Arabidopsis thaliana: one gene and its partners. The protein of the gene in region 4 binds, or shares a complex with, the protein of the main gene of each other region. Each region holds a gene or a part of one and is shown on either strand. Other genes may lie near its edges. The genes, in order: AT5G63480, AT1G23230, RFR1 and AT1G15770.

The links.
Region 1: AT1G15770 (region 4) and AT5G63480 share a complex: the UniProt entries of both Arabidopsis thaliana proteins name them as parts of the mediator complex.
Region 2: AT1G15770 (region 4) and AT1G23230 share a complex: the UniProt entries of both Arabidopsis thaliana proteins name them as parts of the mediator complex.
Region 3: AT1G15770 (region 4) and RFR1 share a complex: the UniProt entries of both Arabidopsis thaliana proteins name them as parts of the mediator complex.

The regions. Positions count from the first base shown.
Region 1 is NC_003076.8:25,413,934-25,419,742, forward strand, and holds AT5G63480 (mediator of RNA polymerase II transcription subunit), read left to right. Parts: upstream 1-3,315; 5' UTR 3,316-3,383; coding exon 3,384-3,761; intron 3,762-4,015; coding exon 4,016-4,108; intron 4,109-4,441; coding exon 4,442-4,540; 3' UTR 4,541-4,702; downstream 4,703-5,809. Other genes in the region: AT5G63460 (SAP domain-containing protein), read right to left, coding at 80-144, 270-393, 480-515, 641-686, 1,353-1,466; NF-YC4 (nuclear factor Y, subunit C4), read right to left, coding at 2,399-3,151; AT5G63490 (CBS / octicosapeptide/Phox/Bemp1 (PB1) domains-containing protein), read right to left, coding at 4,783-4,974, 5,112-5,201, 5,300-5,385, 5,467-5,582, 5,687-5,796. UniProt on the Arabidopsis thaliana protein: Component of the Mediator complex, a coactivator involved in the regulated transcription of nearly all RNA polymerase II-dependent genes.
Region 2 is NC_003070.9:8,242,601-8,252,443, reverse strand, and holds AT1G23230 (mediator of RNA polymerase II transcription subunit), read right to left. Parts: upstream 8,005-9,843; 5' UTR 7,964-8,004; coding exon 7,856-7,963; intron 7,776-7,855; coding exon 7,732-7,775; intron 7,646-7,731; coding exon 7,546-7,645; intron 7,459-7,545; coding exon 6,520-7,458; intron 6,384-6,519; coding exon 6,141-6,383; intron 5,934-6,140; coding exon 5,664-5,933; intron 5,555-5,663; coding exon 5,353-5,554; intron 5,256-5,352; coding exon 4,984-5,255; intron 4,769-4,983; coding exon 4,685-4,768; intron 4,590-4,684; coding exon 4,495-4,589; intron 4,348-4,494; coding exon 4,185-4,347; intron 4,092-4,184; coding exon 3,675-4,091; intron 3,592-3,674; coding exon 3,478-3,591; intron 3,398-3,477; coding exon 3,272-3,397; intron 3,197-3,271; coding exon 3,048-3,196; intron 2,803-3,047; coding exon 2,562-2,802; intron 2,384-2,561; coding exon 1,597-2,383; intron 1,525-1,596; coding exon 1,343-1,524; intron 1,098-1,342; coding exon 994-1,097; intron 911-993; and 2 more. Other genes in the region: AT1G23220 (Dynein light chain type 1 family protein), read right to left, coding at 8,308-8,466, 9,600-9,830. UniProt on the Arabidopsis thaliana protein: Component of the Mediator complex, a coactivator involved in the regulated transcription of nearly all RNA polymerase II-dependent genes.
Region 3 is NC_003074.8:8,465,268-8,474,788, reverse strand, and holds RFR1 (REF4-related 1), read right to left. Parts: upstream 7,392-9,521; 5' UTR 7,152-7,391; coding exon 6,877-7,151; intron 6,704-6,876; coding exon 6,593-6,703; intron 6,418-6,592; coding exon 6,073-6,417; intron 5,908-6,072; coding exon 5,588-5,907; intron 5,490-5,587; coding exon 5,398-5,489; intron 5,102-5,397; coding exon 4,789-5,101; intron 4,642-4,788; coding exon 4,431-4,641; intron 4,120-4,430; coding exon 4,005-4,119; intron 3,912-4,004; coding exon 3,750-3,911; intron 3,663-3,749; coding exon 3,005-3,662; intron 2,817-3,004; coding exon 2,610-2,816; intron 2,441-2,609; coding exon 1,320-2,440; 3' UTR 1,162-1,319; downstream 1-1,161. Other genes in the region: AT3G23600 (alpha/beta-Hydrolases superfamily protein), read right to left, coding at 143-269, 619-640, 809-956. UniProt on the Arabidopsis thaliana protein: Component of the Mediator complex, a coactivator involved in the regulated transcription of nearly all RNA polymerase II-dependent genes.
Region 4 is NC_003070.9:5,424,836-5,430,890, reverse strand, and holds AT1G15770 (mediator of RNA polymerase II transcription subunit), read left to right. Parts: upstream 1-2,610; 5' UTR 2,611-2,675; coding exon 2,676-2,762; intron 2,763-3,085; coding exon 3,086-3,595; intron 3,596-3,714; coding exon 3,715-3,999; 3' UTR 4,000-4,183; downstream 4,184-6,055. Other genes in the region: NRB4 (mediator of RNA polymerase II transcription subunit 15a-like protein), read left to right, coding at 1-369; AT1G15772 (mediator of RNA polymerase II transcription subunit), read left to right, coding at 1,659-1,706, 1,799-1,873, 1,957-2,190; AT1G15760 (Sterile alpha motif (SAM) domain-containing protein), read right to left, coding at 4,569-5,177. UniProt on the Arabidopsis thaliana protein: Component of the Mediator complex, a coactivator involved in the regulated transcription of nearly all RNA polymerase II-dependent genes.

The DNA of each region.
Region 1 (5,809 bases), on a different chromosome or scaffold from region 4:
GAAATTCATTGTTTAAAGTCCAAGTGACATACGATCTTGAAAATTAAATCAAATAGAATTAAAGGTATAAAGAGATAACCTTGTCTAGATGCATTAGCAGCTCTTTTAGCTGAGCTTCTGTCGTCCAGAGCTCTATTTGCAGCCCTACGAATAAGAAAAAGTAATAGATGAACACACCATTTATGTAGGCAATAAGAAAGATTAGTGATTTTCAGTCAGTAAGATTAGTCACGCAAGGGAGGAAAGAACTAATCACGTGTCGTAGTTACCTCTTTTTAGGACCATCTTCAGCAGTTCCTTTTGAGTCTTTAGAACTAGATTCGCCTTTTTGCTTCTTTAACAAGAGAGATCTGATTAGTATATTTTGCTGGTTTGTTTTGATAAGCTGTCCTTCTGGATATATGACAAACAAAATAAGTTAGGAGTTGTTAGTAAGACAAAATTCTACAGGAAACAAAGACTTATTACTGAAACGCAGCTTATTCTGAAACTGATAATCCTGAGACTCCCAATTACTTTTCCAGTGTAGCCAATTCTCACCCAGAGAGAAAATGAAAAGGAATTGTTTTATGAGATTGCTACAAGAAACTGTCTCTAAGAAAACAACTCGTGGAACAAAACGAAAAAAGAAAAGAATTACCTGGGGGAGATGTGTCATGCTCACAAATGTAGACCCGCAAGCTTCCCTGAAATCTTACACAAAAGAAAGTTACTAAAATGTATGATTAAGCTTTAACAAAGAAGCTATTACTACACAGATAGATGAAACAACTTCAAAAGGAAAGAAACACTCTGAGATCCTGCCAGTCTGCCACATTCACAGGAAAACTAGAACTGAATGATCTTATAAGAAAATAAATTGTAATAAAACTCCAATATGATTGGAAATAAGAGCTACGCATTACTAAATCCAGCTTTTGACAGCAACACATGGATTCAAAGCAGTCGCTTGCCAACGTTACTAAAGTAATTAACAAGATCAATTGTCATGAACTGAAGCAGTATATTATAAGTGAACTCTTGTAATTATCATTACACAATTTGATCACAAATCTCAAAGCTTCAAGCATTTATAGTAAATGGTAAAATTCAAAGTAAAAAGCAGAAACTTTGAGCCTATAGGCACAAAGTGTGGAACCTAAACCTAAAATCAAAATTACAATTCAGACAAGATTTTCTCTGATTTAATTCTACCCAAATTTCAACGATCTGGAACTACAATCAAGATCACTTTGAAGAATTGAAGACGCATACAAAAAGCTAATCACTTTGAAAAACCCAAAATTTCAAAATTCGGAATCCATAATAGACCTTAGAAAACAAAAAAGGCGGGAATGGGTTAGAAAAGTTACCGGATTGGAAGAGACGACGGTAGAAGACAAGAAACCTCGAGACGGGAGGTCAGAAAGGAACTTGGAAGCAGTTTGATCAGAAGAATCGGATGGTTGAGATGATGAAGCCTCCATTGACAAACCACTGATAAACCCTAGCCGAGGAAGACGAACCCAGAAGAGCAAGAGAGGGCGAGAGAGCAAAGAGAGAACAGACAGAAAATCGTTTAGGAACAAAGCGGCACAGAGATGGTCACCGTCCGATTGCGTCTATTGGAGAAAGATATGGGCCTTATTAGGCCTTAAGATGATTAAGTAAGAAGTTAATATATGGGCCTTAATATAATTTATATATACATGTTAAAACGTGGTCTATTCAAAGCTAATATATAGGCCTTATCAGGCCTTAAGATGATTAAGTAAGAAGTTATTATAAGAGACAGAGAACTCAAAGCTACTACAAGCCATGAAATACAAACTCAATATGCCATACATAAGCTCTGATCATTACTAGATTAGGAGCAAGAATCAACAAAAATACAAAGCATAGATTAGAATCTGCACATTTAGATTAATATATAGTTAAGCAAGTCTGCAGTTTTGCTGCAATAACTTATAAGTTAACAGGAAAAATGAAAAAGAGCTTTTTTGTTTTGTTTTGTTTGATCTCTCTCTCTCTCTCGAGTAAGTCATTCGAATCATAGACATATAAGAATCAGACACTTGCAGGGTCGAAATGATGATTAAATCTCTAAGCTTCTGGTTCCATAGCTCAACTGCACAACATTGTACAAATAATCAAAGGTGTGAGTCAAATCAAATAATGGATATCAAAATTGTGTATTTTACAAAGTTTTGTTTATGAATCTAAAGAAATGAGCCAGATGATACTGTAAATTGAGCTTCTTTGATATTATCAATTTTTAGCTTATTTGATGAGAATCAATGAAGATGACACAGAGCAGCAAATTCCTCTAAGACTAATCAAAGCAAGCTCATGAAGAATCTCAATAACCATAGATAATCAATTGCAACAAGCTACATTGCTGAATATTACTAGAATTCACTTACCCTTGGCTATCGAGATTACCATGGCCGCTACTTCCTCCACTTCCATAAGACACATCATCACCACCACCAGCTGAATTCTGCCAAACGCTTTGCCATGCCTGAGAAGGAGGCTGAGCATAAACACCGCTAGGATCCATCGCCGGTCTTCCAATCATCATCCCTCCAGGAACCGCCGGTTGTCCCATCGGTGGATAATAATAAGGAACACCGCTCGCGGCGGGAGCAACCATACCTCCTCCACCAAGAGCCGATGCTGCATCTTCCTCTTCCTTGATCTCTTCCCTAGGAACAATATCAACAAGGAAATCGAAGATATCGGTTCTAGTAATCGCAGCAGCGATATCGTTTTTCTGAAGCGTACGACGTTTGTTCTCTTCAGCGTGAAGCCAAGATCTAATCGTAAGTTCGAGAATGAAAAGCTCACAAGCTTTCGCGAAGAGAATCGGTGCTTCGGCGGAGATCATACGCACATCTTCATCAGCTTTCATGATTTTTTTGATACGAGCTAGAGGGAGCTGATGGTTTTTGAAATCGTTTACCTGTTCGATCTCTTGTCTCTGGTATGTCCAGAACATTTGAAGCTGTTGCTGTTGTTGCTGGAGGAGGTGGTGGTATGTCGCTCCTCCTCCGGTGACTATTGATGCAGATCCAGATGGTGGAGGAGGGATTACGGTTGTGACGGCGGAGCCAGGTGGATAGACGGAGGTTGGTGGTGGTTGCTGGTTGTTGTTGTTGTTGTTATTGTCCATTGGATCTTTGCCTTGTGATTGGATCAAAAGATCAAACTAACGTTTTAGATAGTTTTTGTCATATGGATTGGAGTAATAGTGGATAAGGTAGACAGCGATGTAGCTGATTTCTTTCTATTTTTATTTATCTATAAAAACTATATTATTGATATATATATTATATAGTTTGATTAAAACGACATCGTATTAATAGTTTAGTCAACCGACGCCGTGATAAAGTGTGTTCACGGTGATGCTGCAGAAACAGGTCTCGACGACGACGACGATGACGACACAGGAGCTAGCGATGGAAGGAGAGAAGCAATTGGAAGAAACTATTGAAGCGGCGTTTCAGATAATTTCAGCCATGAATGATGAGCTTTGTAATCCGTCTTTGTGGTCTACTTCAGCTACCCCGAGTTCCGCCGCGACGACGACGGGTTCTAATGGTTCGGCTCTCGTTTCCGCCGATGCGGCTGCGATTGATGGAACATCGCATCATTCGGAATCTGCTGGTGGTGGCGGGGGCGGAGGAAGTGGAAATAGTGTTTTGGATGAGGCGAGTCTTCGGTATAAGAACTCAGTGACTTCGCTTCGTGCTGTTCTTGCTGCGATTCCAAATTCGCAGAAGGTATTGAACATAATGTGATGTTACTAACTATTTCGAGAAGTGTTTTGTTCTGAGTTGTTTCTGGACTGAGGAAATTTTGAATTCCTAGGGTGTTTTGAGATCTTAGATTAGGAAATCTTCGAATCGATAGAGAGTTTAGATGAAGGATCTAATGCTTGTTGAGTGTCTTGTTCTTCACTTGTAGTGAACTTGCTTAATTTTAAATGAGAGCTTTTTTGAGGTTTCATAAATTTGAATTTGTTCATCTATTACAGGCAAAAGCATCTGAAATGCAAAATGGTTTAGGATCTCCTGAAAGTGAAGACGAGATCGAAAAATTGGAGGAGCAAGCCTTAAGTCTCAGAATGGTAAAGCTTTCTGCAATTTCTACATCTCTTTGTTTTCAATCTGATGTTACTACATTGATACACTATTCAGTCTCGAATTCTCTGTACATTTCAACTCACATAGCATTGAATTTGATTCATATTTTCTTGTATAAAGTGTTCTTTCCCACTGTCTAGTGTAAGTGTTTGTATCATTATAGCTTAAGCGGTTCTAGAACCATGGAAATGTTGATAATTTTTTGAATACATTTCAGCCATCTGGTCATTTTGATTTCTATGTTAATAACCTTATGGGAAGTGATTATATTGTTCTTCTCTGTTGGCATTAATAAACGGAAGCTTTTGTTCATGCAGGAGATTGCAAAGAAGAATGTTCATGTTAAAGAACTTATAGATAAACTTCGGGAACTTATAGCAGATATCTCTACATGGCAAAGCCCTTGTTCTGTTTGAGTTTTATTTTTTTGACAATAGTGAGATCAGTTTAGACAAAGATTCTAAGCCTTGTTCTTGAATTACTCCATGTATTAGTTTTAGATATTTGTTATTTTGATATCATGAAGCCAAAAAAATAATCAAAAATGACTTTTGTATATAAAAATATTTCAGACAAAACCTTCAAACCCTGTGTCTGTTTTTCTTTTTTGTTTGTATTGATCTGTTAAAGAAACACTTCTTGTAGTGTTTCTGAGGAATCAATGACCGAATTTTCTGAGAAAAGCCATAAAACCAAGACCAGCTACTAATGCTGCACCAGCCGCAACTCCACTATAAGCAGCAGCCCAAGCGTCTGTCTCTACATACTCCATTGATTCTGCTGATCCTGATGCTCTTCTCCTTCTTCTTCCTTTGCCTTCTCTTGAATCATCCAAATGTAATCTCAGACTCTGCAATTTATAATGATCAAATCAATTCAGAAAGCAAAAGGGGTTTATGGGCAATCTCATGAAGGTTTCATCTTCGACTTTGGTTCTTGTTGCTTATCAACCAAAAGTTTAAAGCAGGAGGAAATCGTTCTTTTTACCTTCCAGCCAATTGATTTTGCATGCTCTATGGCTGCTTGAAGGTCACTATCTGAAGCCAACAACACTTTATCGTGGTCTTCATCTTCATACTGCACATTATAACCATCATTTTAACAATTCAGGGGGTGACAAGAGAAGAATTAGATAATGATTGCATCATAGTCTTTATGTAAAAGAAAATATTTACCAAAATTTGGGGGAAGTTATCTGGATCGATATCATCCCCTACCCTCTGAATGATCGCGGTTATCACCTCTGTCAAACTCCGAGTGTCTGCAAAAAGAACCAATTCAGTTAAGTAAAAGCAAGACTACAACTATTTACTTGATGAATAAAAATCAAAATTATTTTTACCGCTTATGAATCTGTGTTTCCTGTGCTTTTTGTCTTCAATTTTGAAAGAAAATGTATTTGCAAAAGGGAAAGATTTTCCTGTCTCAGCTTCGGAAGCAACCTTCATGGAGCTCTCACTGAAACAAATTGTTCCCCATGTTGTCAACAAAGTCAGCAAAACCAAAGCTTTCTTTGAAAAGAAACTCGATAAATAGTGGAACAAGTAAGACTAGCTAATAACCTTCTCGAGTCCTCATCGTCCTCATTAGGAGACAATGCCATAGCTGAATCCCAAAACTTTTGCATCATTGTGTTTGTCGCCTCATTACCTATTCCCGCAGTAGTTCCAGCCTGAACACATCAA
Region 2 (9,843 bases), 2.8 Mb from region 4:
ACACAAACATCTATCCACTTTATTTTGGATCAAATCTTTTGTTTATGTATAAGTCTGTATAACTAACACAACACCTAACAAAAGAAAAAAAGGTAAACAAGAAAATAATTAACGGCTTCTTCGATACTTTATTTGTTTATATAAACCCCAAAAGAATGATCCTAAAGTAATAAGAAAGCTTGTGCTAACTTCATTGTTCTGTGTTTCTCTCCATCTCTGATATCTTTCTCACGACTCATTAGCCTTACTCGGTTTCTCCTAAGTCCAAAGGTAATGTCTCATGACACGTTTTAGCATGCGCAAATGGATCAATTTATTATAAAATATGCATAAGATTTTTATATAGGTTCAAATGGTCCTTATATATTGTTTCTTTTAATTTCTTAATTTTTTTCGGAATATCAATTAATACCGGTTGATATTACGACAAAAAAAAAAAGAGATCGACAAAAAAAGTCAATAAAATTTAAAACACTAATCGAAATATACTTCATCTGAAATACCTGGTTGAATAAGCCTGTTTCATCATCTAATGATAATTTAAATTCTAAATTTCATAAATAAGAGAAACATAATGTTACCATTGACATATATACAAAACAAGTTGTAACCATGAACCCAATTTACCAGAACATGTTGTAGATGGAAGAATCTTTTGTGCTTCTATTGCTCTACGGACACACATTATCATCTGGGTGTTTATTAAGAGGTGTTAGTCTTTGCAGTATTCTGCTGATGAGCAGCTGCGTATATGGAAGAATTCGGGTTGGTTTTGAGGTGAGCGAGAAGGTGTTGTACATCTGGTCGGAGAGTCTCTGCTGCTCTTCCGATTAACGCCAAGATGTCCGGTCTCGGCTTGCTGCTAGTTTGAACAGCTCCTCCTTGTCCCTCGTAGTGAATAATATGGTGTCTGCAACAACAGTTATGTGATTGTTAATCAACAACGACAATAGTGAATCCATGTTTTGCTATGGTAATATAATAGAAGCTTACAGGAAATCAATAAGATCTGCAATCTGGGATGCTTCAACAGGGGCTGTTGTCTGTGCGGTCTTTCCAAAAACATCGACCAGTGCGCTTAAGAGAAGCATTAGCGTCTGTTGAGAAACAAAAAATGAACACCAAAGTAAAACTACAAGAAACCATTGAAGATCATTTCATTTATGTTGTGTACTCGAGAGACTAGGAATTAACATGCTAGACGATGGCAACTACATAATATTCAAATTCTATCCAGCCTTTGATATTAAATTTAACATGAGCAGAACGTCACACGGTAACTCTCACAAGCATATACTTGAAAAGACTGACCACTTCATATGGATACAAGCCATAAGAGTACCTTGTTAAAGAGAGTATGTGTACTGGCAAGCCTCGGAAGCAGTGGCCCCATGATACGGAATACAACTCTGAGCATTGCCACAGATGTCACAGGCCGGAGGTTCGTGATGATAGCATTCGTGCCATCAAGCCATTCTTGTGGGAGATTGCTGAAGAAAGCATGAAGCAAGGCGACAATATTTCCTGGAAGAAGACACATGTAAAAACAAAATCCAAACAAACATTTCACTTCTAGATCCAGAAACTATAGCGTACCTATGGCGGTCGAGGTGTTATCCTGAGCAGCCCATGTAGGATCCATCAAAGCGTATCCAACAGCTGAGTCTAGTTCACCTTGTGATCTCTTCCCGTCCTTAAGCCACCATGTTTCCCTTGTCACACGTGCTGCCTCCAAGTAAAGCTGTACGTGAAAATCTGGAGGGAGCTGAGCCAACAGAAGTCCACAAGCTTGAATCAACAGACACGACAGTTGCTGACATGTATAACCGCTTCTAGAGACAAAGCTCGCTGTGTTGATACCAGGAATCAGACAAGTGGACCGGCTAGCGCTCATGGAGTCTGTGCTCCCTCCAGAGGGAGACGTTGGCAGTACCGACCCTTGTCCCACCCCGTTGGCAGCGCCGTGGAACCCGTTTCCAGATTGAATCAGAGTCGATTGTATGTTGACAATTATCTGGACAAGCGAAGAGACAATCTGAGCAGCAGAGACAGGAAGCGAGAGGATCTCGATCACGGCTGTCTCAAGAACCAGTTGCGTGTAAGTTCCTGGGTCCTGGATCTGATAGAATGCTTTCTGGCCCTCAGAGGCGTTTGCTGGTCCAGGCTGAGATGTTCCTGGAGTTTTTCCATGAGGAGGTCTTGCTGAGCTGTTTAAGATGTCTGCCATTGAGCCAGACCTCGAGCTGCAGTTGCTGCTGCTGCTAAGTGGAGGTATAACATTGTTTACGAGATTAAGCAGAAGAGAGGCAAAGTAATCTAGAGGTGGGCATACAGGTGCACCGGTAGGGCTAATGTACTGCGGGAATGATTCAGAGAATGGAATCTGCGGAAATGTCAAAAGATTTGTTACGTTCCATTTTAATCGAATGTGGAAACGATTACGGACAAAGGTATCTAGATAAATTGGTGAGAAACAAAATCTCTAAACTAAAATCCAAAAGCGGCATCAACTTGAGGTCAATTTCAGAATCAATGTAAGATCGGGAATTGTTTTCAATTACCTTGCTGAGATCAAGTACTTTGAGCATGCGCAGAACAAGTTTCCCAGGAAGATGGCCATAGAAATAGGCTAGTATATCACGGACAAACGTGAATCTGAGAGGATGATACGCTAGAAAATGCGAGTGTGCAAGCAAAAGATTATCAGCTTGCTCCATCGCATTGTTCTCGATGAGCCTGTAAAGCACTAGAGGGATAACTGGAAGCAAACGCGCTGCAATATCATCAAAGAACGTTGGATACCTGCGTTTAACACAATAAAAAAATAGGTAAAACATTTACCCAACTTTAGCAGAATCCAACACCAAAATTAAAACAGATCAAACCAAAATTCAACTATTTCCTAGTCATACACAAGTTTTCATGGAAGGTTCCATCACACATTTATGGTTGGATGCCAACAAAACCAATCAAACAATCAAAGCCATGTACTTAAGTGAAATTGTTGTTAGAAATCAGTTACACTGATGTTGAATTGGATATATTACCTGTCCTTCCAAGAAAGATGGTTACCCAGGGCCTTCTGGAGTTCATTGCGTTTGAACACCTGTGTGACAAGCCAGTGCTCAGGAGACCCACGGTTTTGGCAGTAGTTTTTTATCCTCAGCAGAAGGTCTGGCGTTTTAAGTAGGCTCATCTGTAAATAAATTGAAAACAACACTGTAAAATTTCTATGATGTTAAGCTTCTTTTACGTAAAAGCATGAACATACTGCAATTATCAAGGCGTGAGGATCATCATCACGGTCAATGAGCGCCAAAAGAAAAATGTCGAGAGGAAGCATTTCATGTGTCCAGAAGAAAAATGCAAGATTTGCGCCTGCCTTGTCTAGAACTGCCTAAAAAATATTACGATGCAATGTAAGAAGATGGATCAAGCAACGAAAAGTGAGGTTAATCTCTTCTGGCAGACAGAAACCTCTAGAGATTGTCCTTGCTGAAGGTCTACATGAACGTGGTGAAGCAAAACATCGACCAAAGTGTATATGTTAGCAGTGACTTCTTCAGGAGAAACTTCTCTCAGAACTCGTGCCTGATAATCATTTGGAAGAGAAAATCATACCACTATCAACAAACAATCATTTCACAATTATGAATAGACTAAGCAAAGCAAACCAGATTTGTGCTGTTGATGTTTTCAGCGTGGCCTTGCATCAGCAGACAAGCACCAGCACATAGATACTGACGGTGTTGAGGAAAACTGTGACTGAGGTATGTTGAAACGTAAGCGGGTTCAGCAGATGGTGAGAGAAGTTGAGTGCACTGGTTTATCACAGTTGTTTCAGCCTGTTGCCATGCCTGAATTGATAGGCCCCTCTTGTCTACCCGTCCTTTCAAAGTTTCACGGAGAAGGGATGGGAAATGCCGCATCGTCTTCTCTGACCATGTATGCTGACTCGTCGCGAGTATTTGTTCCAACATGGTTTGCAGATAAACCATGTGATCAGGGTCTGCGATACCACGTGTTTTGATAGTGATAGCAAGAGTCATGATGGTTATGCGATTTAACGTCTCAGTGAATTCAGTTGGCCCCTAGTGATGATAACATAAGAACAATTATTTACACCTGAGATCCAGGCACAAAATAAGAAGGGGGACAGTGAGTAATTCGAAAACACCACTTACTTTTCCCTCCCGTTTCACAGAGAAAAAGTCTCTGAGTGATAAAATGAGATTCATGCATAAGTTTTCAGCTAGTCTGAATATACGGTGGTCACCACGTTTTCCTTTCAATGCAGATATTATTTTAGTAACATCATACATTAAAGTTTTACTCTTTCCTTGGTATCTGCAATAAGATCAGTAATTTTGTTTAGTCGGGTCTAACAGCCAATATGGCGAAAGCCCGAAACAATTGTCATCTAACTAAAAGAATGACCCAGTTAAAACATAAAGAAGGATCTACTCCAACTTGAGAACTTTTCGCTCGTTTTACCTGTAGAGTGGCAGCAACCGATAGTTCAGAATCTCAAGAACAAGTAACGTCACTCCAGGCTTGCTTAGCAGAGAAGCATTTCGCTGGGCCAATTGCTACAGAAAGTTAGCTAATCTTATGAATCGCTTATGATCAATAAAACATAAGATAATGAAAGTCAAAAGGTAACAGAAGGAACCAAATAGCTTACACTGAAATGTGAACGGAACATCGAATGAGGGGAAATCAGAAGCAATCTTGTGTATGTCTCAACCATTGCAATGCTAGGAACAACCTGCACTCAGATGTTTTACTACGACACTAAATTCATTTTTCTCAGGTTTTTTAAAATCTACTATTAACATTTTTAAACAAGTAAAACGCTAAAGTTGTTTTACTAAACCGTGGAGAAAATAGGTCACTAAGTAAAAATGACCAAAGAAGATGTTCTTCATAGATCAGTGTATCAATTAACATATATAATATCTTTGTGAGACAAAGGAAACAAACCTGGCTAACAAACAAAGCTTCTTCCATCTGAAGGGCCAATTTCAAGCACAAATTCATTGAAAAGCCAGATAGCAATGACATAGGTAACGGGGTAACTTCCTGCGTCATCATTACTCGGTCGTTTGGCTGTAATCCCGGTAACTCAGCCATGCCAGCTGAAGATAGCCAATTTATAACTGTTTCACATGCTGGTTGTGCCATGGTGTAGGAAACAACCCAAAACATGCCAATCGACCTATCATCCATATTCATATAATCCATCATCCGCTCTCCTGACAACCCCAAACAAGAAACAGAATGAGAGGATGCTTTTTATAATCGGGATTCTCTGCTTCCTAGTCTAAGCCCTGCCATTGAAACCTTATGTACCTTTGCTTCTCCACCACTCATCGATCTGTTTTCCCTTCAACAGCTGTTCATTGTTTAGGTATGCCCTAGTTGTTGTGCTTAGTGACCAAATCCGTAGATTCTGACAACTGCTTACGAAGTCAAGCAACACACTCTGAGGATTGTTGGGATCAGAATTTCTGTCTTCCCTGTGAAATGATAAGATCTTCCTAGTAGTCTCCACCTGAGAGAAAACCCAAATAGAGCACAAATTGGGATGTTAAATTCGCCGAAAAAGAAGTACAAGTAATTGCATTGCAGCTGCAAACATATCATTGTAATTGAGTAACGACCTTTTTAGCATCTGAGTTCAAAGCAGTCATCACAAGCTCCACGCGTATTATTTGTGCAAGCAGCCAAGTCACATGATTCGTCCGAAGAATATGGTTATCAACACCGTTAAGGCGTAAAACCAACTTGTCAATGAAATCAACAAAATCAGTACACCCACTTTTGATTAGAAAGAAGAATATATCCGAGAAAACCAGCCACTCTTGCCAGCAATTTGCATCTGCATAGAGAGGGGGAAAAGTAACAGATACCAAATCAATACCAAAGCAATCCTAGTATAATGGTATCTCAACTCTTACTTTTATCTTTTCTATCTAAGCCTAACGAATCAACGATTATAGAACTAGAATAAAACGTAAAGGATGTAGGTTCTTTACAGATTGTGACGACTAGCAAAACCACTTGCTATTTCAAAATAATTTCCACAGATTTAAATGGAAGTGACAGATCAAAGACATGAGAAATAGGGAAAGACAAACATTGCCTGAGTTGGTCAGCTTAAGAAGCTCAACAATTCTGTCAATGATTGCCTCACAAATCATGTCAGAAGTGAATACAGCACCAGGGATAGGCCCTGCTTGTGTAGATGGTCTATAACAAGGGGCCACAACAAGAACACGCTTCCACCAGTCCGGTGACGGTGTAGTGCGAATAGCATGTCTAATGCAACGCACTGCTCTCTCCCAATCCAGGCTTCCTTTTGGAATAGACATCGCCAGATCCTGCCGGTGTCGAAAAAGAAGAAGAGAGGATTGAAATTCACAAATTGTCTGCCTAATGAAAAGCGTATACATTACACAATATCAACAAGAGCCAACTAAGCTATGAAACCAATCTCCACAATTTCATAGGAATCACCTCTCCATATAAAGGTTCCCCAAGCACACTTGGATATGTAATTGGTGAATGTCGTAAGTGTGGCACAGCTTCGGGTGGAACATTGGCAGTTATTTGGGAGACTATACGATGGGTACCAAATGATGGACAGTGAAGATGTTGGTCCAACATGAGCATATGCATGGCCATCGCATCTCGCCTCCGGTGTATCTCCATGATAAGAGTGAACAAGGCTTCATCATCAGGTATGTTCTCTATAAACTGTAGACCACTGCGCAATAACTCATAAAACGGAATTCGAGATTCACCCTCTTCTACCAACAGCCAGATCACATCCAAACAACTCCGCAACCATTCAGCTAAAGTCTTCTCAGATCTCCACGACTTTCCTACAGAGTCCTCAGTTCCCAGATCTCTCCTGTCCCAGTTAACAAGCCAATTCATCATGTACTGGAAAATCTCGGCATGAGTAACGGGTTTGAGACTAGATTCAACGCCAATCAAGATAATCTTGCAACTGAGCTGACGCAGACTGTTTACAGCAGCAGCTCTAATCCGTTGACTATTTCTCATAGCATTCTCTCTTACAATCTGGCCAGCTCTTGCAATCTGCTGCCCATTCTCCACAGATTTCACCTCTGAAGCTGATGGAGAACCAATACCATGAGCTGAAGGCAGCAATGACGTTGGATTCACAGACACAGGAACTACAGACTGCGAAGAAGTAGCAGAAGAACCAGCCGTTGCCGCTGCTGCTTGAACACCTTGGCTTAACGACGCCTCAGCAGCGGAAACGGAAGAGAGAAGGGATGGTAAAAAAGTATCCCAATTGATATAACTAATCCTACACAATGTACGCAAAGCAAAGAGTAGAAACTCAGCACGAGGCGCATGATTGCTACATTGCACCACCAGAGATATCAAAACTGACTCAGTAATCGTCCTCAATTGCTCTGGATCCTAACAAAGAGTTGGAAAAAAAAAAAAAACTTTATCTTACGAAATCACAAAGAGAAAGATAAAGATAGTTAAAAAACGAGACTTTACATTGAATTGGCTCTGAAGCAGCTCAAAATCCAAAAGGAATTGCTCGTTTCTTGGTGGTAAGTCTCTATTAGGAGCATGAACACGCTTCTGTGATTTGTTCCTGATCAAAACAATCAACATGGATAAAATCAAACACAGAAGGAAGAGAAAACAAGAGTTGATTCAGAATCAATAGAAACAACATACGGGGGATCTCGGAGGGACTCATCAGGCTTTTGACGGCTTCCTCTCTGTGATAGAGAAAGCAAAATCAGCAGAGAAACAAAATTCGATGAAAAAAATTGGGAGATTGGAGAAGAGATTAACCAACCCCTAAGTAGAGATTGAAAAGATCGATAATTGCAGCACGAGCTGGGTGGAATTGGTACGATCGAGAAGACGATGGCGTTGCAGCGACTGTTCGCTGCGATTGATCCATTTTTTTTTCTTCTTCACTGATTCTTTTTTTCTTTGATGCTTATAAAACGGAGGAGCAAAATTGGTATTAGAGGTTTTGGGTTTAAAGCTCTTTTGAAGAGAAGAAAATGTCAACAACAACAACAACACAACAACGAAAAAAACAAAATTAGAATTTGAGAAAGAGAAGAACAATATTTTGCATTGTGAAGTTGAAACGATTCACAGTAGAGAAGATGACTTCTAATTACACAATAGGAGCCACAAAGATTTTGTCTTAGGCAGAATTACATTGTGGGATACAAGACAGAGAATTCTAAAAGAAAAGGATTAAATTGAAGATGCTCTGATCATCAACGTTTTATCTCATTTTTGATCTAACGGCTCCACGGCAGTCTTGAAGAGAAGAACGTAAACTTTGTCGATCTGAAAATATAGGAATCCTCCTGTGGAATGAGTCACGTATGAACCAAAGCTTGTTCCAACAATGCAGTGCCATGCCGGGCCGTAGGCTGAATCGAAGTCCTGAAATGGAAGACAGATGGAAAACTGTTTCGTGAATATATAGTTTTAAATCAGCTGCAACATGTCATTAGACAGATGGGAGTCTAAGATTCACTTCAGTGGATAACATAGAAGCTGGATTTAGGAGAAAACATAGAGACAAGAAACATATGAAGATCTATTTCGAGATAAGAGATCTATATTACCAGAACAAGAAGATAAAACAAGACAACAGCAGAAATTGACTCGTATGTCAATCCTAAAAGCCAAAGGGAGGTAGCCATTATTAAGAGATTGATGAACACTGAGACAAACAAGTAAGCTGCACACAGATAAGTGAACACTAAATTGTTTTACTCAACCACTTCATAAAATCAATGTATGGATCAATCAATGCCTCTACCTAGTCGCATAAATTGAGGGAACTGCTCCATTTCGCTCCATAAGTTAAAATCAAAAGCTAATTATCAAAGCCGCTTTAAGAAGGAACAATATCCTCACGAGAAACAACTGCATAAATGGACAACTCTATATATGGGGTGTCGAACCAAGTCCTTTGTAAAAGGTTGTATTCAGGCAAGGCTCACTTCCTAAAGCAAGCATGCTTCAGAGTTATCATTAGGTAGCAACTAATTTCTAACAGCAAAGATACAGAAGCTTAGCAGATGGTGCATGCTATGCCTCATTAGTTATGGCCTAAGACAGCTCCAAAATCATCTCAATAAACAACAAGAACATCCAGTTTCAAGACATTTCACAACGAGACTCCTACTACAGTTATCCTCGCAATACAAAAACAACCTAGTCAAGTAGACTAACCGAAGCTACAAATAGAAAAGACAACAACAATGGAACAAAGTCAAATGCAACCTAACAAATATGGGACCATCCATGAAGTTCAACAATATGCAAGTACACAAACGAAAATCCAAATTCAAGATTCATCACATCTTCAAACCAATCAAGAAAGAGAAGACCATAACCACATTCTACAAAAAGCATGCGACTTTGAGACGTAGCCCTAGAACCCAAAAGCAGCTCAATACTTTTAGATTCTGTGTCAAAATTCAAAACTCAATCCAAGTACTAGACTTCAATGACTCCAATTCAACCCAAATACAGAAAAATCATGAGAGAGATACAAAAGATCTAACCTTTTTTAGGGCATGAGCGAGTCTTTTGTTATCAGCCTTCCCTGGAGTAGCATTCAAAATCTCACGCGACAAACTAAAGGCTCTGTTCTGTTGAGGCAAAGGCATATCTGAAGCCCTAACACGAACATTGAACTCATCTTTCTGATCTTGCTGTTCTTTAGCCTTCTTCTTCTGTATCAAACTGTTCAAGAACTTGCTTCTTCTTTCTAATTCTAGCTCAACTCCTTCCATCTCTATCACATCA
Region 3 (9,521 bases), on a different chromosome or scaffold from region 4:
GATATGAACTGATTCAGATGGAATCTATCAAAATAACAGAACAATAACACATACATTGAGTCAAACTTGTTAACAAAACTTCAAATAGAAGTTGAGAATGTATAGGACAGTTATTATAAGGAGGAGAGGAGGAGGAACGAACACAGCCATGGTCTTTGATCCAGACAGGGATGGGTCTGTCCTGGTTAGAGGGATTATAAGGATCTCCACCAAAGTAATCAGGAACCACAACATAGAATCCAGAAGCTGCAACCTTGTCCGCAAGCGCCCTTAAGACATAAAATTAAGACTTAACACTCCATAAACATTCCTCCATAGTTGTACAAGATAAACTTGAGATAATGCAATGCAATCAAAGCAATGATTCAAATTAAACATTTAGATCTTATCAAATGAGTTCAGAAAAGACAAGTCAACTTAAAGACACATGATAGGTATGCTTCATCTTGTACATAATCCAAAACCAACAAAACTATTTGCAGGCTCAAATGAAAATTCTAACTAGACCTCATATGTGGCTACTAAATACTATCTAATTCCTTCAAAGAAACAAACCCAAGTTAAAGATTCCATTTTTAATGGTTGAATCGATGAAGAGGGAAGAATTAGTAGTAGTACCTTAAGTTTGGAGCTTCAAAACCTGAAGAACAAAAACGTACCTAAAGTCAGAGTCAACAATGATGCAATGATCAAATCAACAAAACGGATCCAAAAAGAGAAAAACAAAAACCCTAATTACTCCGATCATATTTCAACTAAAACAAAGAAAGTCAAAACAGATCAAAGCAAAGAAAGAAGAGTATTTTACCAAAAATATCAGAAATGAGGAGGACGCAGAGCTTGGACTCGGCAGAGCCGGAGACGTAGGCATCAAGCCCACCCAGCTTCTCGACATGACCCGACCCGGAAACCGGGTTAAGAGTTGGCGGGTTTTCACAGCACTGAGGTCCCGACATGTGTTAGTTCTTCGGAAAAACAGAGAGATGATACAAAGAAACCAAACTCAATCATTCGTTTTCTTTTAACATGTTGTTGTGACTTGTGACCAACTAATCAACGGAGAGTCATCTAACGGTTCCAAATAGAACACTAATCCATCTAACGGTCTAGAATAGTACACTAATATTTTCTATACAAGATTTTTTTTTTTTTTTTTTTTTTTTTTTTTTCTGTTTCTCTCTATACATATGCGTGATTGATTTCATCACACAACACTGGAGCTAGAGAACACAAGTCACAACAAGGAAGCAAACACTAGAAGAAAAACATCTATCAAACAACTATCTGAAATCTGGAGAAGATCAAAACTTTTTAAGAAGCTATGAACGCAAATGAATGATGAAATCAGCTGCGTAATCCATTGTTTTGAGACCTCCCAAGGAGAGTAATACAATCGCTAGCTCGTCTTTTCCCCATTTTCTTAGTCCATTGCTTAGACTCTTTAACACTTCTGTATCGATCTCTGTCACCCAGAGCGGCAAACAGCTCACCATTAGACTCACCAAACCGGAAATATATGTTCGCCAAGTTGCTGTTTCACATCCCACTGATATTTTCCCATCTAAGGCACTCGCGATGAACTCCAAGTGGCTTCCCAAGATTGCTTGGCGGCGGCGTTTGGATGCAGATGATCTTGAATCCACGCCCCAAGTAAGTGCTCCACATAGGACCACAAAGTAGGCAAGGGCATGACCTCTTAGCTCTGCAACTAGATCCGATGGTCCTTGTTCTCGGTCTGATTTGTCAGTTGATAGAAACCAAGATGGGATCGTTTCTTTGATGAGAACGTGGACCACACCTAAGCCACCGGTTAGCCATACCAACGAGGCACTCAGCGAAGCAGCAAGCTTCACTTGAGTCATTGCTGTTGCTAGAGAACTTTGGCCGTATCTTGATCCGTTCTTCACTGTCTTCAGCTTTTCCAGCTTCTCCTTTGAGAGCCTGTTCTGGGCTATATCCTCCACCGAATGTATCAGCAGAGAGAGAATCTCTTCCGATACGGAGACAGTATCTCTGAGAGCACGATACATACGGAGATAAAGAATCCCTGGTGCTACAGGAGAGATCCCTCCATAGAAATGAGAGCCGAATCCATGGCCAAGAAGAGCTCCAACGCCACCATCATTTGACATGGGGGCAGCATTCAAACCCAGAGTGGCACTGAAGCAGTTTCTGAGGAGCTGAATCACAGCGTCTTGGTTGTGAAGGAAGACGGTGCGAGAGGCAGAGAAAACAAGGAAGTCAAACCAACGTTTCGCCTTTTGGGTCCATAATGAAGCTACAATGGGCATGCAAGGCCAAGGGCAGCCTGCAGCCAAGCACTCCAGAGCTGGGCCAGCCAGGTTGAGAAACCGCTCTGAGGCTTTGTCAATTTTGTAAGTAATGGTTAGACTAACAAATGCGGCTAGAGGTAAAGGAAGCGTTGCCGGAGAACTCCCTCCTGCAATACCACAGCAAGAAGTCAACCATAAGTTCAAAAGACAACTTTAACTTTAACACATCAAATCAGGACAGGTAAAAAGCTTATTATAAAGAGAGGATGGTACAGACTACAGAGATGGTAAGCCAAACAAACAGACTGGCATTTTAAACACGTTGAATAGTTTTACCTGGAGCAAGGCTAGGGATATCGACGCCTGTTGTTGCAAGAATTTTCGTTATATATTCCTCAACAGTGGATAGATTTGTAGCTGGACTTGGCCAATCCACGCCGTTCATGAATACTGGCTTCCAAACACCTCTACTCACCTCAGCTGAGAAATAGCTTACTATCGTTGCTAATGATGCCGGGAGAAAATCTGCTAAGTCTTTCAGCCCTGAAAGAAAAACACTTGTTATTCTGTAAATAAATTCACTTTACTGTAAGAAATGCATCTGATATAACAACTGATCAACACAGTCAAACATCTCTCATTGGCATTCAGAGTTGCCAAAGGTCATATAGACGGATGTTATCGCACATGACAACACAATTAGGAATCTGATCCAGCAAAACAAAACAAACCTGTAGCTAACTGACGAGGCGAAAGCCTTCCATGAGTACAAGCGGTTAAAGCAGCATCGACAACATATGGAACGGCTTTGAGGATATCCCAAGCAGGAAACTCAGGTCTAATATTGCTATCTTCACTTGCAGCTCCTGATGAACTGCTTGTGCCCGAATTTACTGGATTTAAAGTCTGACTGCCTCTGACCTTTCCGAACGTCATGTTGAGAAGTGCTTCAACTGTCTGATGAACGGGAGATCCATGTGTAAGTCCAGATAATGTGGCTGCTATGCATCTTTGGTGCTGCCTATACCAGACTTTCAGCTTGGGGAACGAGTCCACAAACACGGGCTGGCAAGATGCTGCCCTTGCAACTTCTGAAAGTCTCTTTCTGTTTCGGTCTCTATCAAGGATCTCCGACGAAACAAGATAAGAATTACGCACTGAAAGAAGATGTTCAGGAGTGAGTTGGGAGCCAACTGTGGGAACATCTCCCACACCATGCTCAATAGGAGGATGATTGAATCTCCATAGCTTTAAAAGAAGAGTGAATGCATTTGAGAAAACAGAATATGCTGATATTGCTTCTCCAGAAGGAAGAGTCCATGATACACTCGGGGTGTAAGATCCAAACTCTTCACAAATTGGCATTAGTGAGCAAGCAAGTTGCGGAACCTAAAAAGTAGCCATCAAAATCGTACATTACATCTTTCAGCAAATTCACTATTAAGTCTAGTAAACTTGGAAGTACAATTTACATACCATGCCATGTAAAGAGAAAATTTGAATGCTGTCAACAGATCCTATCCCAACAATAACAACATTCAACATGCAGGCATAACCAATCAAATGATTTTCAGCCCTGGAATAATCTGCTGGAACGGGTGGGGATAGTAATCTTGTAAGATATTCAACAGTGTGTTCCTGTACATCGAAGAAAGATAGATAAATCAAACATGTCTGTTCAACCGAAAATTCTCACTGGTGGAGATTCTGATTAGTGGATTTAATGCCAACCTGTATGTTCCAACCCCGTGTGAGAGATGCCCCGCAAAGAACTGTAGCAGCAGATATCTTCTCGTCATCCGATCCTTTGACTGCAACCTCAAATAGTTTCTCGAGCTCTGCTAAGCTTCCATCAAATCCATGAGGTATTTCAGTTGCTTTACTCTCGGTAAATTAAAAAAAGAGCATTACCTGGCTAAGAAACAAAAAGGAATAACTGAAGAAGAAGCAGAACTTAAGTCAAACTAGAATGCAACCACTATTCTCATTGTGGCAATGGTTTCCTTAGGTTACGACTTTGAAACTCCGTAGCTTAATTTTGTATAGTAATTTTAAATTACCACTGACTGTATGATTTGGAGGGAAGACTATGTGGATGAAGTAGTGTGGAGCTAATAGAGCAAAAAGAAACAAAAAGAAGATAATAACTCATTCTACCTTGAAGCAGGAACTGAAACTAATGTATTCACCATTGCGGCATTTAGTGGAGCCCCTTTCACAAATGATGACCAGCAGGGTACTTCATTCGGCAGACTCTGAGGTATTTGGTTGATTCGGCCATTAACATAGCCAGGCCACGAATAAGCCGACATATCCAGTATGTTTCTTGCAATACAAGCCTCGACTATCAGGTGGCGCATGTTTCCAGCTACGGCATGTACATAAAGTATGTTAGGCACGAAAGAGGCCCATAAAATCAACAAATGAAGACAATCAAGCGACAATAATGAAGAATACGAAGACAAACAAATTGGTTTAACTTCAATTCAATAGAGCGAAATTTTATTAAACTTACAGCAGTTGACAGGCATGTCCTTCATGTTTATGACATCAAAACATGACTTTCCAACATTGCCACCAGACAAAAACAAGATTGCCTTTGTGGCAGCCTTGTTGGCAGCAGAAACAACGCATTTGGGAGGAGCCAGCAATCCAGGGAAATCACCGAGGACCTGCAAACTTGTAACAAGGTCATCTCGCAGCTTTTCCATGACAGATTCGTATTTCCCCTCTTCAATAAGGTTTGCGACCACAAGAGGCACAATACATAATGACATGCACAGCCTTGTGTCCAGTCGAGGAATAGGTCCCTCAATAGGATCCCTTTCCTAGTAATAAAGAAAAACGAGAAAATCAGAACAGCCATTAGATACGGAAAATCTAAACTTATCATGGATGACAGAGTAACAATCAAATAGTACAGCTTCAGTCAAGAGAAAGTGTGTAAGAAAGTCCTCTGAAACTGCAGGTAACAAAAGTCTTGGGAATTATAACCAAATAACAGAACCAATTACAAAAGCACACGGTGTAAGTAAAACTTGCAAGCAATAGCAATTGCACTTTTCTGGGTACCAAAGTAGTGGTGAAATCACAAACAGAAAGATCAGTAAGAGAGTAATCTAACCCTTTGAACAAGTCGGAGAGCTGCTATCCAAAGCCCCAAGAAAGTGTCATGCCAAGTGCTCCCATTAATTTCTTTAAGTGTTTTAGCTAGACCTGAAAATTTAATACTCCCAAGTCATTTCGTTATATATTTGAGATATCTTTTCTTTGGTCAAAGCCACAAGTGAAAGAAGATGGAGTCTACAAATTACCGGTAATGATTTCAATCGCACTAGTTGGGTTTACTTGATATCCATCCATTGCATCTTCAAATACTAGATCAAGAGGAAGCCAAAGTGAAGAGAGACTTGCTCCATGGCATAAGCCAGCATAGGAAGAGAGAGATCCAAAATCCACAATTGCATTGGATTTCCGTGCTGAAGTTACTTTGCTATCATAAGAATACCCAAATCGTCTATTCGAAATCAATTGTAATAGATCCCCAGAATTTAGAACCTTTGAGTGTTTTAAAGCCGATGAATTTTCTCCAAGAAGCTGCACTTTCTGGACAAATTCATGCCACTTCGAAGCCCTGAAAAGAAATGGATAGCAAATGGATTAAAAGAAAAACACTTTACTACAGAGACATTACTTGTCAAATTCAGGTCATGATTAAGCAAAATATCTGCCAATGCAAAGAACAACATAACTATGATGCCACTGAAAAAACTTTACTCTCGTTAACTATGATGCATACCTGTTGGAAGATACCAAGTATAGCAATCTCGCAATCACTGTATTTCTGAGGAATTCCGCTATCAACTCAATAGCCATGATGGTATTCAAACTCTGTAACTTCTCTAGTGATCCAGTCTTTTCATTATATCTCTCAGGAGCATCAATTTCCATATCTTGAGACTTAACTAGCCACTGGGAGCTCGAGTCTTGGCTTAGCTCTAGCAAACCTTCATCACTTAACGCTGCATCTAGCAATTGTGACACCATCTTAAAAACAAACTCTACTAAAAGCACACCAGGTTTGCTTGTGTCCAGATCAAATAACTCTGAAAGACGAAGAATATTGGATACTGAAATCATGACCCTGTACAAAGAAGAAGGAAGATAAATACCAAGTAAGCCAAAACAGTATTTTGTATTCTCTAATTCTACTTCTGAGTACAATGTTAATGGAAACATACATTTACTAACATTTTTCCTACAGAGCCAAGCATTTGAATGAAACAGTAAGTAAGAAGTATCAACAAAAAAAAACTCACTTCTGGTAGTGAGGTCCACTAATATGATCTTTAATGGTGAACATATTTCTCTTGAGCAGCTCCAAGTAAATTCTATAAGCTGCTTGTTGCGTAGACCGGGTTGGAACAACTCTGCAACAATCAGAAAACATAGAACTACAATAAGATAAAACCAAATCTAAGATCCATCACAAAATCGTAGAGATTTTCCAAACTATAATTCACCAACTCACAATCCAAATTACGAAATAAATCATCAACACATAGAACCCTAAGGAAACAATCCATGAGCGATGAATCCAGACCTGTCAGCGAGAAGAGCAAGAACAACGAGAGGAGAAACAAGCTTCAAAGCCATAGCTCTTTCAAGAAACTTCCAAACAATAGGAACGTTATTATCCCAACAAATGTACGAAACAATAACCTCCGCAAGCTCCGTCGACGGTAACTCCACGGCGAAGAATTTCAAATTCGATGATAACTGAGAAGCCCAAAGACGAGGATCGACACAGTTCTCTTGAGCCATCTTTGTCAGCTCAATCACACAATCCCAGACGGTTCTCCGTCCAGGAACCACCATTTTTTCCGTTCAATCAACGAAGCTCTCTGAAGAAGAAGAAGAGCGGTTAAAAGATACAGGAACTCTTCAGATTTGATTTGGCGAAAAAAAAATAAACGCGTGTGCGTTTGTGTGTGCGTTTGCAAATGGCTGAATAGTCCTCGTGAGAGAGATGATTCAGTGCGTGTGAATTGTCCCGAGACGAAATATGAGAAAGACGTCAAAAGAGTTCACATTTCACAAATCTCTCCACTGTTTATGTCAACTTGTGTGTTATATTTCTTGAATTTATAAACAATTTTGGATTTTTTTTTATTTGAATTGAAATTTTTTAATTGATTTTAAAGTTAAAAGTACAAATTTCTTCTGATGGGTTCTACAAAATTTAGTTTATAATATATATATATATATATATATATATATATATATATATATATAGTTAATATGCATCTTTGTCAATAAAAGGCGTAAAGTAGATTTTTTAAATTAATCGGGAAAATTAAAAATTGGACAAATCTCCTAAATTTCCATTAAATTTCAACTTTTTTTTTTTTTTGTTATCCACTAAAAATTTTGCGAGTGACGAAAATGGTTAAAATCGTTGTGAGAAAATTCGAACTCTGCATAAAAAGACATTCATAAGAAATCTTTTAACTAGTGGACCATTACCATTTGGTTCTAAAAATGTATGTTAAGTGTTAACATAATTGTTGTAGACATTTTAAATGGCAAAATTATCTTACTTTCTTTTGTATTTCAAAAGTAATTTAAATTCAAAATAACTCCAGTTATTAAGAAAGAATCAAGGTGTATATATTTATTTTATGAATAATTGAAGTGAAAATTAAAAGTTATTGACCGGTGGGAGTTTATATTTTTTTTTTCTTTGAAAATCAATTTTGTTTTAAACAATAATAAGTTTAGATAGATGGTGGCAAGGGTGAGTTACAAAGCCATGATTTCGAAGTATGACTTTTGGAGGCAATTTTGCATGAAAGAGTAATGCAAGAAGAGCTTTTAGGTAATAATGCAAGATAATACCATTTTAGTCAAATTTTCCAGCTTTAGTCATGAGTCTAATTGATTAACATTACCATTTCTTGCCAGAAAAAAAAAAAAAAAAACATTACCACGTTCTATGGATCTTCTTATTTTCAACGCAGGGAGTAATCAGAAATTCTATACTGATAAAGATGGGTTAACAATATTTCTTCCAAGTTTTGTAATTTTTTGCATCCAATTTTAAATAAATAAATACAAATAACTTTCTTAAAAAAACTATCATTTTTAATAAATGAAAACTTAGAGAGAAAGAAGAGTTAAATTGGTAAATCGTAAAAATAATTTCTTTTTTTATGTAAAAATATATCCGTAAAAATTTAGCTAGTCATTTACGGACTGAACAGTTAAAAATATTTTATCCAACATCGTTGTAAATGGATGTAACAATAAGTAAAACATAAAATAATAACATAGAAAGAAAAAAATGTAGTGAAAATGCTCTAGAAGAAAAACCATGTTAAGTCTATAACCTAAATACAATTAAGAAATTAAATGCTAGTAATCTAGTTTTCCATGATATTAATATTGGACTGCACATAGTTGACAATTATAAGATTCATGTGGCGATTTATGAATTCTGATGGGATATTTGTCAAAGCTATATATTATGAAATTAAAGAGTTCGATAATTGGTCAAAGTGAAGTTGGTATCAAAGACATTTTTTTACTTTATCTGGAATCAGTAGCTTAGCTACACTTGAATACTGTATTAAATATTGGTCGTCCGAATAACAACAACAACGCATGGGGGAAAAAGTCAAAAAACTAGTTTAACATATTTTTGGTGAACAAAAAAAATAAAACAAGACATATTTTGGCTACAATCCGAAATTTCTTGGTAAAAAAGTACTTTATTTTTGGTACAACTTTCTTTAGATTGAAGCAAAACATAACATTGACGTTTCAGTTGATTTTTTTTTTTTTTTTGATAAATAAAATTCACAACTTGAAGAGATTGGTAGATAGACGATTCAATATTCAATGTTTTCTGATGATACCATTACCATATGCATATTCAGAATTTTTTTAAAAGGTGTATATATTTATTTTTGATATTGCAAGATTAAAAATAGAAAGAAAGTACAAAAGATGCGGAACCTACGAAGTTGGTGAATTGAAGAACACGATTAATGATGGATGACCCACATGAATCCAGCTTTTATATACTCTTTAGTCTATAAACAAATGAGACAAGATCATCTCTAGATTCAGAACTTGGTGTGTGTATCAGGTAGGTAATGGTTAGAAATAAAAATTCTATCTAGTGAAGAGGTTGGCCAATGATTTTCAAACGTCTAGATCATTTTTGTCAATAACCGATTAGACTAC
Region 4 (6,055 bases):
CTGCTGGTTCCTTGTAGCTACCCCAATGGCTCTCCATCTCTTCTAGATAAACTCCCGGTCGAAACCAGGTACAAGCAAATCCTTCAGTCTCAAGTAAATAGAACCATAGATTTTCCGTACCGAGTCGAGCAAACTTCTACGATACAGTTAAAATCTTCACAAGAATCATCTACTAGAAACCCTTTATTAGAAACTGCGTTATCTTCTTACCGTAACACGGTCTGGTTTCTTGAACAGCAAAGAAAACGAGGACCTGTCGTCCAAAGCTATGGCAAGGTTCAACATATTGCTAAGAAGTTTGTCACAGCCGATGTCGCTCAAAGACATAGCCAAGACATGGGACGCCTGTGCTCGGGCAGTGATCTGTGAGTACGCACAGCAATTTGGCGGTGGAACTTTCAGCTCAAAATACGGCACTTGGGAGAAATATGTAGCAGCTTCCTGAATCTGACGGATCTCTCTCGTCTTCAATAGCAGCTCTGTGATTCACTTGCAGGTTCATGTCAAAACTAAAGAAAAAAAGCCAAAAAGTTTTTTCCTCACTTTTTGTTGTATAGTATAAGTTGTTTTCCCACACACGTGATTGGGATTTTTTGTTATCTGTTTGCAAAAGCTTATGCTATATTATTGAATATATTTAAATAATATTATTTTAACTTTATTGTATGTATTTTGTGAATCTTGTTAGTATATTCGTCATTTTCTTCTAATTCTGAAGTGCAATTACCCCTTTTTTGGGGTCTTGCTGAATGTTGTATTTTGAGATTTGTTGTAATACGCATTTTGAGATCGTTCAGAAGAGTTTCAACTTCTTTACTCTGTTCAGTTGTCACAATAAAATGGCTGTTTGAAACATTTTTTTTTTTTTGTATATACCAAATGGCTAACTTTTTTATTGTAATTATTGATGATTTATCATCATAAAGTCATCAAGTTAGAAGATACAAGGAGTGATCAGTGTGGTGTGTAATTGTCTATACAAATTAGTACATGAACGAGATTTATTTAGTTAATGACTATAATTAACATTTTGGTCACACAAATAGCCGGAGATTTCACTGGTTTTTCTACAAGTCTCTTTACTCGATTTTTAGCCTTTACTGTGTGAAATAGAAAACTTAAAAAAACTCCAAAAAACTTATTATTTGCAGAAGAGACTTGGGCCTGATAAGTACTTATTATTGGGTCATTGGGCCTCGCTTAATAACCTGATATTGTAATGTTGTTGAAGCCTTTTAATCCTTGTATTTAGCTCTCTCTTGTTTGTTTCTCTATAAAATCAAAAGATGATTAAAACAAAAACAATCATCTCTAATTCTTCTCCTTAACCCTAATTGCTACGTTTCACTTATTAAAAGAAAGATTGAAACGTAAGAACGTTTGGAGAAAAACCAAATCCAAACGGACCGTTCTAAGTCTCGGAGATTCATCGCCAAAAGGTCCTTATTTTGAGTCACCTATCTCATTACGTGTCATAGTAAACCCATGGATTCGTCGATAGCAAAACCTTTTGCATAAGAAACTAGTTTTATGGATTGATGATACTTGTGTACCTCTAATTTTAGGTTTTTGTATTTTTTTTTACACAGTTTCTGATGATGAATGAATCTCGCTTTTTAATTATTTTTCTTGGCTAGCAACACTAGATAGTAGATACAATGGAAAATGAAAATGGAGATGATTGGCGGGAGGAGGTTTTCCAAAAGGTAACTCATAAGTCATAATCATCATAATAATAAAACTCCTTTCTTAAATCATCATCGGGATCATTCATTGTGGTGTGTAATTGTTTATACAGCTTAGATCCATGAGAGAGCGTTATCTACCACATGTGACTGATGTTTACCAGAGACTTGCAGACAAGTTGAACCATGTAAGATGTAGTTACTGTCAACTATTAACTCTCTGCCTTAAGTTGTATAGATGTAGTAATACTAGTTTGTTTGTTTTTTTCAGGAGGAATCGCTTCCGCAGCAACAAAGATCAAAGCACTTTGACAAGTTCCAAAGCATGAAGACAAACATAGAGCAATTGATCCAAGTCCTATCTCTTCGAAAGAGAAATATCATGCCGATATTAAAGGATTGTAGATGGGACTATTATGAGAAACGGATTATATATTTCTTAATTACGCTAAGAACCGGCTGGGAAGACAGTACAGCAAAGGCAGCTTCAAGATCAGTCTCATAATAATCAAGGAAATGCATTGTAGATATTTTGTCTCTCTCTCTTTTTATGTTGGTCTTCTCTCTTCTGATGTGTTTTGAACTCTCATCCTCAATGTTGTTGACTCCGGTGCTCTGTTTCTACCAGGCTCCTCCTATCAAGTTATGATCGAAAAATGAATAAAGACCCTTTTTTTTTTTGTAAATGTTAATTTCTCGGAGATTAGGTGTGTTTTTGGTGGGTGCTTTAGTGTTCCGTCAACTAGTAGGGTAGGGTTTGGTTTCTTATTGAATTCATGCAGAATTCTTTTACCCATCAACAGAGATTAAAGCAATTTGAGAGATTGAAGGCAATGTTGGAGCGAAGAATGATACAATTCCTATCTGTTTCAAAGAAGCAATGTCATGCCTTACTTGAAAGATTACTACGACAACCAGATTATTCCTTTGTTACTAGCAGGATCATCTCTCTGTTACTAGATGATATCACCATGATGAGTAATCGTATGTATGATTATATTGCTTTTCTTTGTAGATCAAATCCATCAAAGAGACCTCAATGAAATCTACCAGAGAGTAGCAGCCAAGTTGCAGCAAGTAAGTTACAGTTTTCATTCTTCCTAGGAAGTTAGTTTGCACGTGTACGTCCTCTGGAACAGTACTAAGTACTTTATGAAGAGTTTTACAAATTCAATGCAAGATCAGTTCATTGTTACAAATGAAAGTCCTACAACTTAGGATTCTTGTTACCCATTTAACAAAGTAAAAGGTTCGTCAGACTCTTATACTTACAGATAGTTCACTAGAAGTTAACCTTCTGACAGATATATTCCTTCCCAAACCTACAGAGGTTGTAAACTTTTAACGTTCATCTATATGTTTGTTTCTTTTCTACTGAATACGTTCCGTTTTCTCTCTAGGAGGATTCTCTTTCGCATCAGAAACAAAGATCAGATCAGTTTGAGAAATTGAAACGAGGCAAGACAGTGTTGGAGGGAATGCTACGTTTCCTATCTCTTTCAAAGAGCAATATCAAACCTGACTTGAAGGATAGTATGGATTATCGCAAGAACAACATTATGAATTTCTTAAATATGCAGAGTCTGAGGAAGACAGTACAGAAACTGCAGCTTACGAAATCTGAGATTCAGCCTATGCAGCAACCACTATCTCAGACAGTTCAAGATCAGTCTCATGATGACCAAACAACTCTGCAGATGCAATCAATGAGCATGCAGGGTGCTGGGTCAAGGGTACAACAGATCAGGCAAGGTGTACTTCAATCCCTTGAAATTGGCACTCCAGGGATCTCTGCCTCTCCTCTCCTTCCGGAGCTTACCAGTCCTGATGGAAATATTATAAATCCTTTGACAAGTACTTGTGGAAAATCGAGTGCTACTGAGCTGCCTATTGAACGCCTTATTAGAGCCGTAAGTAACGTTACTAATTTTGAAGGGTATATTGCAACAGGGCAGTGTCATTGCTGCCATCCCTCATTTGCCGTGGAAACATTGTTCTGATCTTGATGTTTGCTTTCTGTTGTTTTCAGATGAAATCCATCTCACCACAAGCGCTTTCGTCTGCAGTATGTGATATTAGATCTGTTGTAAGCATGGTTGATAGGATTGCTGGTTCAGTACCAGGCAAAGGTTCAAGAGCTTCATTTGGTGTGGACTTGGTTGCAATGACTAAGTGCCATCTCCAAGAAAGAAACTTCATGACGCAAGATGGCGACCATGAAAAGGAAGCGTCAGACAACCCCAATGCCATCAAGTGTTGCTTCATTGGGAGGAAAGCGTTGGTAATAGCTACAAGCATTTTGCTGGTTTGGTAACATCAGATATGGAATCTACTGTGACTTGTGGTGGCAAGAAGCCAAGAACTGAGGTATGGTTTTCAGTTACACTTCCCTTAGGTATATCTGAAAATTGACACACACACAACAGATAAAATTTGGAAGCACAATGTTTTGTGTGCTCTAGTGTAGACTGTGTAGTGTCCTGAGCTCAAGATCTTTCCGATTACCTCAAGAGTAAGATCACTCCGGCAGGCTTAGCGTCATGGTTATGTGTGTAAACAGAGCATTTTTTGAGAAAAGAGTAAAAAGTGATAAAAGCTGTAAAGAAGTTTTGACTGGAACAGAGACTTAGGCCAAAAGCAAAGACTGGAGAGACAGACTCATTACAATGACCCCACACACTCACATACACACCTGACACCACCACTCAACTCTATTTTCCAATTGTTAACTAACAAAAATTAACTAGCCTAATCACATACAAAGACAAAATCAAGAAAACATGGTGGAAGAACCCTAAAACCTCATCTCTCACCATCAATTCTGATATAAAGAACGAAGAAGAAGCTGAAAGAGAAAACATAAAACAGAACTTAGAGATTTTTCTAAGTAGGTTTGAGATTCTGAAACATTGAATCCCATTTGATATCTTCAAAATAAGTATCTTGAGCGTAAAGTTTCTCATCCTTGAAACTGTAATCGAAAACCATGGGACTTGAGAAGCTATCGATTCTACAAGGAGTCCCATTGGTCAACAACAACCTCTCTTGCTTCTCCAATCCACCATTTCCATTGCTCGGCATCACAGATCTCTTGTTCCTCTTCAGGAATCCACCTCTCCACTTCCCAATCCCGTTGCTAGTCTTCTTCGGCACCAACACCAGAGCTCGAGACGACGCCGACTCTTCTTCACGGCGGATCCAGGCGCGTACGTGATCGGATAAACATTTCCTGGTTTTCTTAATCGCAGTCACGACTCTGGAGATGGAACGAGAGGTGAGAGGAGGAGAGTTCTTGCGATCTCGACGAGCGAGTTTGAGAATCTCGAGACGGTGTTTGGCGATAGAGATTCCCATGCTCTGGAGAAATTCGTGGTCGAAGTAAGAAATGTCTTCGTGTTCGAGCTCGTTCTGAGAGAAGGAGAGGCCGTATTCGTGGATGAGAGAAGGTTCAAGGTTTGTTCTAGAGAGCCATGAAAACCACCAATCTTCCATTGAAGAAGGTTTATGTTTGTTTGTGTTTGTGTGGGAGATGATGTATATATAGAGGAAAAGTGAGTGGGGGGCTTTTTTGACTTTTGTGCAAGTAGCGGGCTTCGTCGTTAAGGTAGTTGAGACGTAAAGAGGGACTATATCTGATTAAAGTGAAAATATAAGAGGGTCAAAAGTGAAAAACACACAGAACAAAATATTGATTTAATATCAGTGGGTTATTCATTTTTTCAAATTTTATTCGAGGAAATGGGGATTACATTTGTGTAATATTACAGATAAAGTAAACCCATGCTTGTGTGAGTAATAAAAGAAAAGATGGGAGTGGAGTGGTGGGTATGTAATATGTAGAGAATATCGAGAAATTGTGTGAGAGTGTGGAGAATGGAGAGTGACCATCAATCACGGTGTGTGGGAAAGGAGCAAAACCCAGTGGGATCTTACTTTTTTTGTGTATGGGTCACTCTTGTATTTTATAACTAAAAAGTTAACACGTAGTATTATTATGTACTAATACACCAGTGTTTTGGAATCTACTTTGCTTTGGTTTTACTAAAAAACTAAACATCGCTTCGAAAATAAGACAATTAAGTGAGGGTAAATATTAGAATACACTTTTTACTATTAAAAACTGGAAATTTAAGGGATTCCTGATCATGTCATTTACATAAAACTGATACAAAATATATCATATACTCAATAATAGGAAAAAAAAAAAAATTGGAAAATATATCACAATTAATAATAGGGTATAGGCCAACTATTTCCTCCCTTATTAGTAACAACACTATGCAGTATGCACATTGGTCAGAGATGAAACTGGAGAAAATCTTCCAATTAATTTTCTTAGATTTATAGTCAGGAAAAAGTAAATTTTCCCC